3 linked regions of the Solanum lycopersicum genome follow. The protein of the gene in region 2 interacts with the protein of the main gene of each other region in a pairwise test. Links are inferred from orthologs where the notes say so. Each region holds a gene or a part of one and is shown on either strand. Other genes may lie near its edges.

Region 1 (4,098 bases), on a different chromosome or scaffold from region 2:
CCTCGACTGCTGAGGCAGCTGCATGGATCCAGAAGGTCCAACAAAATTACCCCCACCTAAAATTCCATGGGGACTGCCAGTCTGGAAGGCCAGAATAGCTTCGTTTCCTTCAGGCCTTCTAAGTAACTGTTGTTGTAATGACTACAAAACGAATATCCGATAAGTGATATGTAAAAGTTATTTATAAAAGAAGGTGAGTAATTTAAATAAGACCTAGATTATTGTGATCTTCCTTATTTTTGACAATAAGCCACCACGATATTTTCAGCAGGGGAACATAATAAGACACTAAGATTAAACACAAATCAGTTCGAAAAGAGCAGCTATCATGATTCAACATAACAAGTTTTGACACTTTATTTGAAAACATACCTGGTAAAATATTGTTTCAAAAATAATTTAAAAAAAGGAACAACAATCTCTCCAGACATCAGTAGTTGGAAGCAAACAACGCAACAAAAGTACATGGAAAAATATTATAACAATATAGCATACAAGAAACTCGAGAGAAACTGGTATGACTGACAAAGTTGATAATGCTGAAGGTTAAATACTGCCAGTCAAAAGCATGAAAGAATTTCTAGGGAAATTTGCAGCATTCTGAAGGACAAATACTGCCAGTCAAAAGCATGAAAGAATTTCTCGGGAAATTTGCAGCATTCTATGCACATATTGGACAAAAATACTCTGGTTTAGTTAAGCAACATCTTATTTCGTCCTGTGCTGCAATTCGTCTTCTTCAGTTCACTTTTAATAAATGTGTTTCCTGTTAAGGATAATCAACTCAGAAATCAAATACAGTAAAATTTTAGAAATGAGGACAATTACAACTTTTCAGAGTATCATTAAGTATCAAATTTGGACAAAATGTGTCATATGTATGGACGAAATAGAAGTTTGCACTCCATAACCTAAGAAATGACAATTAATCTGGTATGAGTTAAGAACATCATTGCAGTTAAGAATCACATGGACAAAATGTTGCATATCACGTATGGACGAAATAGAAGTTTGCATTCCATAACCTAAGAGATGACAATTAATCTGGTATGAGTTGAGAACATCATTGCTGTTAAGAATCACACGGACAAAATGTGGCATATCATGTATGGACGAAATAGAAGTTTGCATTCCATAACCTAAGAAATGACAATTAATCTTGTATGAGTTGAGAACATCATTGCAGTTAAGAATCACATGGAAAAAATGTGTCATATCATGTATGAACGAAAAAGAAGTTTGCATTCCATAACCTAAGCAATGACAGTTAATCTGGTATGAGTTGAGAACATCATTGCAGTTAAGAATCACATGGACAAAATGTGTCATGTGGATGGACGAAATAGAAGATTGCATTCCATAACCGAAGCAATGACAGTTAATCTGGTATGAGTTGAGAACATCATTGCAGCTAAGAATCACATTAACTTCCAATACTGTTGGAAATATAAACCTTTTGAATAGGTCAAGGTTAAAATATTAAAGACCTGGCAGAGACGAGCACTTAAAATAAGGAAGAAAAGGTGGAACTATCTATCAAGAAAAAGAAAAATAGGAATCACAACATGCTAGACAATACGTACTTGGTGGAACTTAACACTTCCATTAGAGGGAAGACTAAGATACACAGAGTTAATTCTCTGAAAAGTGAATTTTGGATAACTCTAAAAATCAACAAGCGCTAATACATTTTTCAGCACAAAAAATGCTCTTTCTTACAAAAAGCAAATCACTCTCTCCTTCATACAAAGATTTTCAAATTCCTCCTACTTCCAAAGCTTAAGTAGTTTAGCAGCTGGCATCTCAGTGCTAATTGAACAAGAAAAAGAATGTCTTTCACATAGCAAGCAAATTCATGTCACTTCAAACCTAGTGTTGAACAACATCATACAAAAAAAAAAAGAACTTGATGTCTTATGCGAAACCCACTTCCAAAATAGAATAACAAACATCAATCCTACTTCAGAAAAAAACAAAATGCCACTTGAAACACCCCCTCTTCCTCAAAAGCACAAGTAAAATTCAGAAAAAAAGTTGTTAACCCTAACCTGCCGCTGATGCTGTTGATGCAGCTGCTGCTGATCCAACCCCATATGAGAGGCAGAAGAAGATGATGTTGGAGAAGCTGAGGCTGATGCCGCCGTGTTCCGCCCATGTCCACCACCGGCGCCGGCGACACCACCTTGCTGAGCTCCACCCCCAGATTGCATGCACCCTTGAAAATTCAGCAAAAAATTCTATTTCCTCCAAAAATGTTGCAACTCACCTGAAATTTAATTGATTAATTTCAGAACCCCATCATCAAGAAAATAAGTAATGAAACATTAATTTCAGTGGAAACCCCTGTAGTTTCCTAAAACCCAAGATTTCCCACTTTCCCCGATCCCCAAGGTTCAAATCAACCACCCACCCCCCTTACCTCACCACTCTCTACACCTCTCTGTCCCACACAACTGTACTTTATCTATAAAAATTTTCTCTCTTTTTTCCTGTATGTATAATTTCCTTATTTTCTTGATAAAAAAAGCTACCGAGAATTTTGCTGAGGGTAATGGTGAATGGATTTTGGCGCGAATCTGTGGGCCTATGATAAGATCGGAAAAGTCGCCGGCGATCTTCCGAAGTTGCCGGAATCTCTCTCTATATATGCTGTCTGGTGTGTGTATGTGTGAATTTTCACGCAGTTTGCATTTTTAGTCCAAGCCCTAACAGCTGTTATTTCTATGTGCTTCTCCTTTTTCCCTTTTTTTTTTTTTACTCCTATTACATTAAAATGACAACAAACAATTTTTAGAGATTTGAAAAAAAAAAATTAATTTTGTGAAAAAATTTGCAATATTTTTGTAAATTATATTCCCCTTAAAAGAGTTTTCTATTTATCTAAGTTTTAATGGATTCTATTAATGTATTTGATGAGCAATAATAAATAAATTATATACGTGTAAATTGACATATATATTATGAATATGAAATTAAAAAAGTCATATAAAGAAGTAATATAAATGAAAAATGAAAAATGTGCGATGATTAATGAGCTTGTGAAACTCAAAATCTAAAATATGGTAATTTAACTTGTTATAGCATGATAATAAGTATTTATTATTTTATCATATCATGATTAATAGATATCATTATTATTTAAATAAATAAATACCTTTATAATTGATGTGATTATTTTTCTATAGTGAGACTATATTATTACATTACAAGTAATTATGTGAACGCTATAAAAGATTTTTTGACTGGTAAAAAATTTATCACTCTTCTTTTAAGAAATCAAATAATATAAATATTGTATATTTTTATCATATAGATATGGAGAAAATTTACAATTTATTGTACTTTTATAAAAAAAAAATTAAATATCTAAATTTTTAATTTAATTTAATGTTGATAATCAATTAAATTAATTTTGAATACTATTTTGGAACTGGTTACATTTTTGTTTTTGTAATTATTTTTGTAATTTGTATGTATGGATTCTTTTAAATTTTTGTTGTCTTTTTGCTCAACAACTTGGGTTTACCTTGGGTTAAGGGCTGGTTAAGGTATAGAGAGGTTAGGTTAGTGGAATTCATTTAACCTCAGAAAACGTAATATTTACCAAAATACCAACATTTTATAATATATGGAAATCTGATTACGTAATAACGTGTGTCGACGGATATTCCTATTTGGCTTTGCATTTTCAGTCTCTTTTTAGTATAATAATAATAAGAATAAAAAATAATACCAATTTAAGAAATATTAATTTTAACATATATTTTATTTTATGTATGTTATAAAAAAATGTTAAATTAAAAGTAAAATAATTTATTTATTGAAATATGCGCGAAAGGAATTCATTCGACTTTTTATTTGAAAAATTATTATATAGAGCATAACTTCAGAATTTTACAATTCGAATTTTAACTGATTTTTGTCTGAATTGTATAAATATGAATGTATAAAAGAAAATCACATAAATTGATAAATATTGTTTTGGCAACTATAATTATGAAAAGGAAATCGTGAAAAGAGATATTTGAATCCTAAAAATCTAAATAGATTATTTACACGTATTTTATTTTACTCTATTGGACATAATAACTTACCACA
Region 2 (3,653 bases):
GTTTCTCTTGGGGCTAGAAGGAATGCGGGTGAGAAGTGGTAATTATTTAAGTTACTTACCATTGATTTCATGCCTACGGTTTCAAAAATATCAAGCAAACACAAGAAAAATCATACTCCTTCCTTCCCACTTTATGTGGTACAACTTAGGCACAAAGTTTAGGGAAAAAGGAAGCCTTAGACATGTGTCGCTATAAATCATTTCATTAAAGGGTAAAAGGGGAATAACAAAGCTAAATTGTTTCTAATTACAGAAAGGTGACATTCTTTCTGAGACAGACTAAAAAGGAAGTATATCCCATAAATTGGGACGGGAGTAGTAGTATCCAATGATTACCTTCCAAGGAGAATTTGAAATTTATCAACAATTTATATTACTGGCATTACATTCTCTACCATCATAATGTAAGAATGTCCCCCACGTGAGGGAATGAGTTGTTGTCTCCTTATATGGTCTTGAACAATCCTCAACTTCCACCTAGATTTTGGGTTGGCCCAAGATCTATTTTCTTTGAATAATCGGGTCAAGACCCATCCCTATTATTGGTTTATCCCATGGTATGTTGTGGACACTCCAAATGTCCGAATTTGGGTGTGTTAGAATGTCCTACATTGGTTGAGGGAATGGATTGTTATCAGATTATATGGTCTTGGACCAGTAGCACCTCATGAACTTATATTTAGGGTTGACATAGGTCAGATGATCATTTTCTTCACATAGAAATTTGATCTTTTTACCAAATTCATACAGAGTAGAAAGTTAACTATAACAAACCATGTCCTATGCAGACCTTCCTATACACCAGACCTTGGTCATATCATATGATGATTGAAGGTGATAGAAGAGAACGAGGTAAAACCTAAAATCAAGTGGAGACACATTATCTCAGAAGTCCACAAATCTAGATATAACTGTGATGTGACAGAGAAATCCTTGTGAGGTAAATTATCTAGTGTTGAAATAAAATGTGCTTTGAACAGAGTGGAATGAATAAAGATTCATAAAGTTGATCTCAATTCTCAACTAGTTTGTATCATGAATTATGAATTTATCCACATAAGGTATTTATTATGAATTTATGATGAACTAATCAGAACCTCAAACCACAGCTCTCCAGTTACATCCCTCAAACCCGAACTCTTCCAACTTTTTTTTAACCCAAGTATCACTACTAGCAACAAAAAAACAAACTTCAGCAGAAGTTCTTCAAAACCATTGTAATGCACCTATAATGGCCCGAATACTTGGCAAAACCTAAATGCCCGAAAGTAAAAGATGTCAATAAAGACTCAACCAAGCAAAACGCGAAGAAAGAGGATGAAATGGACTCAACAGGAGGCCAAGCGGAGATGAATAACTACAGTATCAGCAGATCACCTGATGGTTGACTATGTTTGCAGATAACCGCTGAATCTCACGTTCTTCATGGTCAGCAAAAAGCTTTGATTTTACAGCTGCAGCTGCAAGACCAACTTTAGCAGCAGCTCTTACACTTTCAGTGGATAATGGAGTCCCTCCAGCATCATGTTGACCCCATGGACCTTGTCCTGCTGCCTTATCATCTGAGAAGATTTATATTAGAAAATATTTGAAGAATGATACAAGAACAGTATGGTACTAGCTCAAATTTACAGGCACCTTTTCGCTGATACGAACTTCCAACATCTCCATGAGGACTTTCATTCTTTCCAGGCATTCTTCCTACACTGATCCTGCAAGATTGAAGTATATACCTTGAGATCACTAAGATGATTAGAAATGGTTCATCTGTTGCTCCTCAAGAAACTAATAGACTATGGCATTACCAATGGCTGAATGCAATAAAATGCATGAAGATATTTTTTTTTCTCATAATATTTGCAAAGGGAAGTAATGCTTCCTTATGAAGTATCACTTTGCTGTATATTTAAAAGAATGATACCATTATAAACTTGACTACCTCAAAACACAAATAGTTAAGCTCATTTAAGTTTTCAAAAGGACAAAATTGCAATACCAGAAAGGTGCTCACCTTTTGCCTCATCAAAGGTGGATCACATTGCATTATGATTTCAGCTTCTTCTTCTTCTTTTTTTTTTTTTGTGAAATTGCATTATGGTTTCAACTTTCAACTATCAAAACTAGAGAAGTGTGAGACTGTGAATGCTTCTAGCTCACAGATAATGTTTGACATATTATTCCTAGACTAAATGGCCGACAAATTAGTTTTACTGAAAATGATAGGAGGTGAACCTCTCATTGATAAAACAAGGGAGAGATGTTGGGTATATAAGGAAGCAAGCTTTAGACACTAGTGATGCATTTTAAAGCCACGCAGATCCGGGCCCAAAGCGGATAATATCACTTGTAGGTTGGGTTTCTATAAAGTGTCTTACCCAAGGTAGCAAAGTATATCATGCTACTATAAGTTGCTCGGACTCTGGTGCAAGGGTCTGATACGGGTGCAAATCTAGAGGTTGGATCCTTCAACAACAACATACCCGTGTAATCCCACAACAAGGTCTGGGGAGGGTAGAAGTACGTAGACCTTGCCCTTCCTTTATGGGGTAGAGGTTGTTTCCGATAGACCCTTGGCTCAAAAGGAATGTCATGGGAGCAGGATAGCAAGAAAAATATACAACCAAATAGCACAATAGAACGGTTGGATCCTACATGATGTAAACTTTAAGATCCGTTATAAGATTTGAGGTACAGATCTAAGCACAAAAACAGGTGTGCGGATTTGGCTACAAGTAATTCAAGTATCAAAATAAAAGTATTCCTAAATTATGGTTGACAATTTGAAAGGAAGGAATGCACGAATATTCAACAGCAAGTTCAAATTATTGTTAAGTACATATTAAGTTTGAATTAGAAATCTTCGTATCTATCTCAAATTTCTCTATTGTTCTAGGTCAAAGCACCCAAAATTGTTTGACCGTTATCCGGTACAGATCCCACACCCACACCCATGTCGTGTTGACACAGATGCAGCACCGAAGTAAAGAGTCTGCACAACTTACGTGCCATTGAAGCATTCATGAGCACAGGCAAGCACACGAGCAACAAAAAGCATTAAGACCAACTTAATACCCAAAATACAGTTTAATAGCAGTAGTGCCATTTTGGCTTCAGAGTGTTGACTATAGCTGCTTAATGAGTAGGACAGTAGGTTATTTCATCCAGAAGGGTCGTGTTATTGCCTCTTTCTTCCACGTTTGGAGATGATAACACATACTCTTGTCATATAATCAAGTCCTTCAGTTATTATATGAGAAGAAAAGGCTTCAGCAACAAAGAGAAACAGTTAGAAAAAAGGGTGAATTTGGTCATCCAATCTTTCTTTTTGTAAATACATAAACCAAACCAAAAGCTAGCTATGATTCAGCTTTTATCTTTTTATTCAATTTTTTCGGTTGCCTTTCCAAGTTTGTGTCTATTCTAAACTTTGGAGTTTTGTTGGGCTTATAAATCTTTATCAAAAAAATATTCCCTCCGTCCCATTTTATGTGAGGTAGTTTGACTCGCCACGGAGTTAAGAAAGGAACAAAGAAAGGAAGACTTTTAAAACTTGTGGTCTGAAATGAACGATAGAAATTTGTGTGGCTGTAAATCATTAAGGGTAAAATAGACATTTTATAGTTAAATTGTTACTTAATATAGACACGTGTCGT
Region 3 (4,136 bases), on a different chromosome or scaffold from region 2:
CAAAGAGGCTAGACAAAAATTTCACAATACATCCTTGTAAATGAAACAAGGATGTCAGTAAAGATGGCCCTTGGCATTTTACATTCCAAAAGTTGTTGTCAAAGAATGCAGCAAACAATGCACCAAGAAGACGCATTAATTAACATTGCAAATGCGCTAATACTACTGCACAAACCAAGAGACAAGAGTTGCATCAGATTTCACTTTAGACAAACTCCTTTCTTATGAAGCTGACACCCCATATGTCTAAAGTTTGCAGTAGTACTCTTATCAAAAAAGTTTGCAGTAATAGGGATTTCTCTGTTGAAACCACAACAAATAATAGGGATACCTTGCCGCTCTGCACCACAGAGTACAGATTCTAGACTCCCTGTTGTTATTCCTTCACCAATCTCAGACAAAGCAGTAACAGCGGCATGTGCTGCTAATTCTGCAACTTCTTTTCCAGCAAGAGCAGAGAGGAAAGCAGCCTGCAGCAAGATTCAAAAACAAGAGGAATCAGTTGAAGTCTAACTTGACTATTATTAAAGACCTAATTAATCAACTTGTCTACTTCAAGAAATCAGCAGCCCAAAAGACTCTTAGTCAATGAGGGAGAAGAATGACCCTAGATCTATATAACATATCAAAGTAAGATGAGAAGCAAAGTTTCCTTGATTGTGTAGAAATTGAAATTGCTTCAGCAGAACGTCTTAAGATCTACGTAAATAATTCAAAGTCAGATGGGAACCGAAGTTCCCTTGATAGCGTAGAAATTGGAATTGCTTCAGCAACTACATTGAACTTGCAAAGTATCCAAGGGAATATTGTATGCACAAGCACTTAACAGATGTCCAGTTTCTTTTTAATATTCAAGGTCCACAATACTAAATAGAACATGTATATCTAACTGACTTACTGCTGCTCTGTTTTTTTCTTTTTTTTTTCTTTTTTGCTGGCTGCTGATCTGTTCTGTCTCTATATTTTTTTCTACAGTATTTTTGTTGTTCTATTACTGAGTTACTCTTTTATCTTTGCTTGTAGTAAGTTGTATTTTCTTATTCAATGTCACAATGAAGAATAAGAGTTTGATCCTTTGTGATTTGGTTATGTATTTGTTTTATATGTTATGACTCACGAGGATTATTGACAATCTATTTACTTTTTAATCTAGGAATATGTTACTTCTATTCAGTTATTTAATATTTTTTATTATTTTTATACTAAATACCGCTTTATCTGAAAAAAGTGTGCGCAAACTTCACGCTTCTCGCTTCTGTAAAGCGAACCCTTGTCGCTGTTTTTTGCTTCTTGCTTCCCAAACACTGATCTAACATCCTAAAACATCCATGTAATAAGAAATGTGACTTAGTACCTGTGCTATAATTGGGTTGCTTGTATCAGCAAAGGGTGTGAGGCGCCTTCTCTTAGATTGAAGATACATAGTTTCAGACCTGGATTCACTATCCATTTCTGCAGATTCAGGAGGGCCCATAAACTGCTCACCGAAAGGAAGCTTGACAAATCTAGCCACACATTCCTTAGTGCTTCTGCCACCAACATGCTCAGCAACCTTCTTCCAATCATCGCCATAATGCATAAGAGCTTCTAAAAGGTGCAAAGTCTCTTTGTCAGTCCAATCTGTCTTAACTTCCTCACTAATCTCAACCCGTCGAAGCTCTGAATTATTCACGCCAACTCTATTATCATTACTAACATAGCATCTTGCACAAAGAGTCAAATCATACTGCATTTAAACAAACAAAAATTGAAGTAAACTCATTTTTGACAATAGCAACAAGCCCAACCAACACCTCAAGTAAACTGCCATTTAGGATTAAGCAAAAAAAAAAGAAAAAAAAAAGAAGAGAACTTTTTAAATAGAAACCATGAGCTATGAAAAGTATGAATCTATAGACTGAGATGTGAGAGCTAAGAGGTAAGCATGACCAACTGAGGAGAAGCTAAAAGATTCAAACTTGATTCAAAAGAGTTGTTAGATACCAATTAGTCCTTCTAATTTACGAATAAACAAGATAAAGCAAACACTCTAAAATAGAGGACTGTTGCAATCACCTTATCAGAAGCGAAACAAGCAATCCTGCAAACTGTTTTGCAGAGATTGCAGATTCTTTTCTTGGGGAGAGTAAAATCAGTGGACGTTCCATTGGCGTCAGCATTTTGCGGAGCTGAGGCAGATGTTGACTTTGACTCTTTTTCTTCCCACTTGATCAGAGACTTGGAAGAGTTAGCAGTGTAATTGATCAAACCCCATGTCTCTGAGAAATCGAAAACCCTACGAATTGAGCCGACGTCTCCAACAATGGTCTTGCGAGCCTCAGTAAAGGTTATCTTTTTAGTGGGGTTATCTCTGAATCTACGAATAATAGTATTCCTATAGTATTTGTATGTCTTAGGGTTCTTGGAAGGCGACCTTCCATCAAAGAATTCAGGAAGAAAGCGAACCTCACATTCATGAATGCTATTCCATGAAAACCAACCTAAAAGAAGAAGAAGAACTAATTAAGTATCACGAATCATCTATATCCATTCCACCCTAAAAATACAGAAGCAAATTTGAAAAGAAAAGCTGAAAAGTAGATGGGACTTACGGGAATAACTGGGAATATAGATGAAATCAGGTTCAGTAATACGGGAGGAGATAGTGGTGGGAGTGACGTCTTTGGGATCGGTGACTGAAGGAGTTGTTGGGTTTGGGGACGATTCCAGTTGTTGGGGACGCTTTAGTGGCAAAGCAGCCGTTTGAGGTTGCTGCGACGGTGGCGGAGAGGTAGTTTGAGGGTCAGATTTAGCTGCCTGTGACTTGATTTCGCCTGATTCGGGCATGTTGAAGCGTTAGAATTTAGACAAGTGTAATCTCAAGGCATTTGGGAGATGAAACGCACAAACGGTCTATCAACAGACAATTATAAGGTTTTATTTATACGAAGGGCCAATTTTATTTTGACCAATAGCTTAGTTAGTAATAGGTTTGCTTGTGTCCTTTTTAAATTAAAAAAAAAAAACACTTAATAATTATTAATGTCTAAATTACAACTCAAACGTCCTATTAATTTTTATTTTGTGGGTTTTACATCGACCGATAGATTGCTATAAACAAGAATAATACCTTGTATGAAAGAGATTTGCAATCCTTAAGAAAGACAACTAAATCACTAAACCTGAATCATGAAACAAAACTAGATTTGAATATATAGGAAAAGGAACAGCAAACGCAAATTTGAGAGTTGAGACATTGACATGGTTGATGTAATATTCAACAGAATAGGTTAAAGGGGAATGAATAATATAAACTTCATTGGCAAAGTCTGCTCTGAGTACCAAACACAAATAAATGATGCAACACTGCTTTTGCACCCAAAATTATGGTCATGTCACACCAACCTTGGTGATAATAACTGAAGCTTCTTGCTTCAAGAATCATCAATAAAACATCCAAATTACAGAATGAATCTCAAGTTTAAGACTAAAGCTTGTTTGTTTTTTATGCACAAGACTTTTAAACACGGTGCATGGTGCACCAGCACGCAAGACAATGACTATCTACACACCCAAAAGCATATTCTGGGAGTTTTTGACTATAACTGAATCACAGGTTGATTCTGATGTGAATTTTTTACAAAGTTTATTGCTACAAGGAGGGAGCCAGAAACCTATTCCAGTATCCCTCAAATGCATGACTCTCTGCCAGTGATCCTGAAACCAGCAGAATGCAAGGGCCTAGATACATGATGTTGAAGGAAGTGCAATCCGCAACTTCCATGTTTCCTCACTCAATCATCAGGAGCGACTCAGACATTGAGCTCTCATGGTGTGGGTATGACTTTTTATAACCTGCATCAACGCAAATGACGTTAAGACTAGAAAAGGTTTGATAGCTTTTTAATATGTGATATCTAGGAGAAGGATAACCTTGCTACATAATCTACATACACCAAATTACTTTTTAGTGTCTTTTTCCTTTTTTTAAAGGGCTGCATATCAAATTAGTAGATTATTTCAGAGTTTCATTAATTCTCCTCAGCAGCTTCAATTCATATTGATGACATGCAAATGGCACTGAAACGGGACTGCTTACCACATAAAGGACCTTTAAGCAAATTCAAATACTTAAGTATTGCAAATATAAGCTGGCA

What was found.
Region 1: the proteins of SWI3C (region 2) and ATP-dependent helicase BRM interact in a two-hybrid assay, tested with the Arabidopsis thaliana proteins (3 studies listed by BioGRID, with this or other methods). The link is inferred for Solanum lycopersicum from reciprocal best matches to the Arabidopsis thaliana genes SWI3C and BRM.
Region 3: the proteins of SWI3C (region 2) and SWI3B interact in binary tests that used the Arabidopsis thaliana proteins (3 or more experiments, as listed by UniProt). The link is inferred for Solanum lycopersicum from reciprocal best matches to the Arabidopsis thaliana genes SWI3C and SWI3B.

Annotation. Positions count from the first base shown.
Region 1 is NC_090800.1:82,012,459-82,016,556, reverse strand, and holds the start of ATP-dependent helicase BRM, read right to left. Parts: upstream 2,851-4,098; 5' UTR 2,532-2,850; exon of another isoform or gene 2,420-2,531; intron 2,267-2,419; 5' UTR 2,211-2,266; coding exon 2,049-2,210; intron 1,140-2,048; exon of another isoform or gene 142-1,139; coding exon 1-141. UniProt on the Arabidopsis thaliana protein: ATPase subunit of a multiprotein complex equivalent of the SWI/SNF complex that acts by remodeling the chromatin by catalyzing an ATP-dependent alteration in the structure of nucleosomal DNA.
Region 2 is NC_090805.1:40,538,065-40,541,717, forward strand, and holds part of SWI3C (SWI/SNF complex subunit SWI3C), read right to left. Parts: intron 1,713-3,653; coding exon 1,639-1,712; intron 1,563-1,638; coding exon 1,378-1,562; intron 1-1,377. UniProt on the Arabidopsis thaliana protein: Component of a multiprotein complex equivalent of the SWI/SNF complex, an ATP-dependent chromatin-remodeling complex, which is required for the positive and negative regulation of gene expression of a large number of genes.
Region 3 is NC_090803.1:68,202,453-68,206,588, forward strand, and holds the start of SWI3B (SWI/SNF complex subunit SWI3B), read right to left. Parts: upstream 2,895-4,136; 5' UTR 2,827-2,894; coding exon 2,592-2,826; intron 2,481-2,591; coding exon 2,056-2,480; intron 1,727-2,055; coding exon 1,355-1,726; intron 471-1,354; coding exon 332-470; intron 1-331. UniProt on the Arabidopsis thaliana protein: Component of a multiprotein complex equivalent of the SWI/SNF complex, an ATP-dependent chromatin-remodeling complex, which is required for the positive and negative regulation of gene expression of a large number of genes.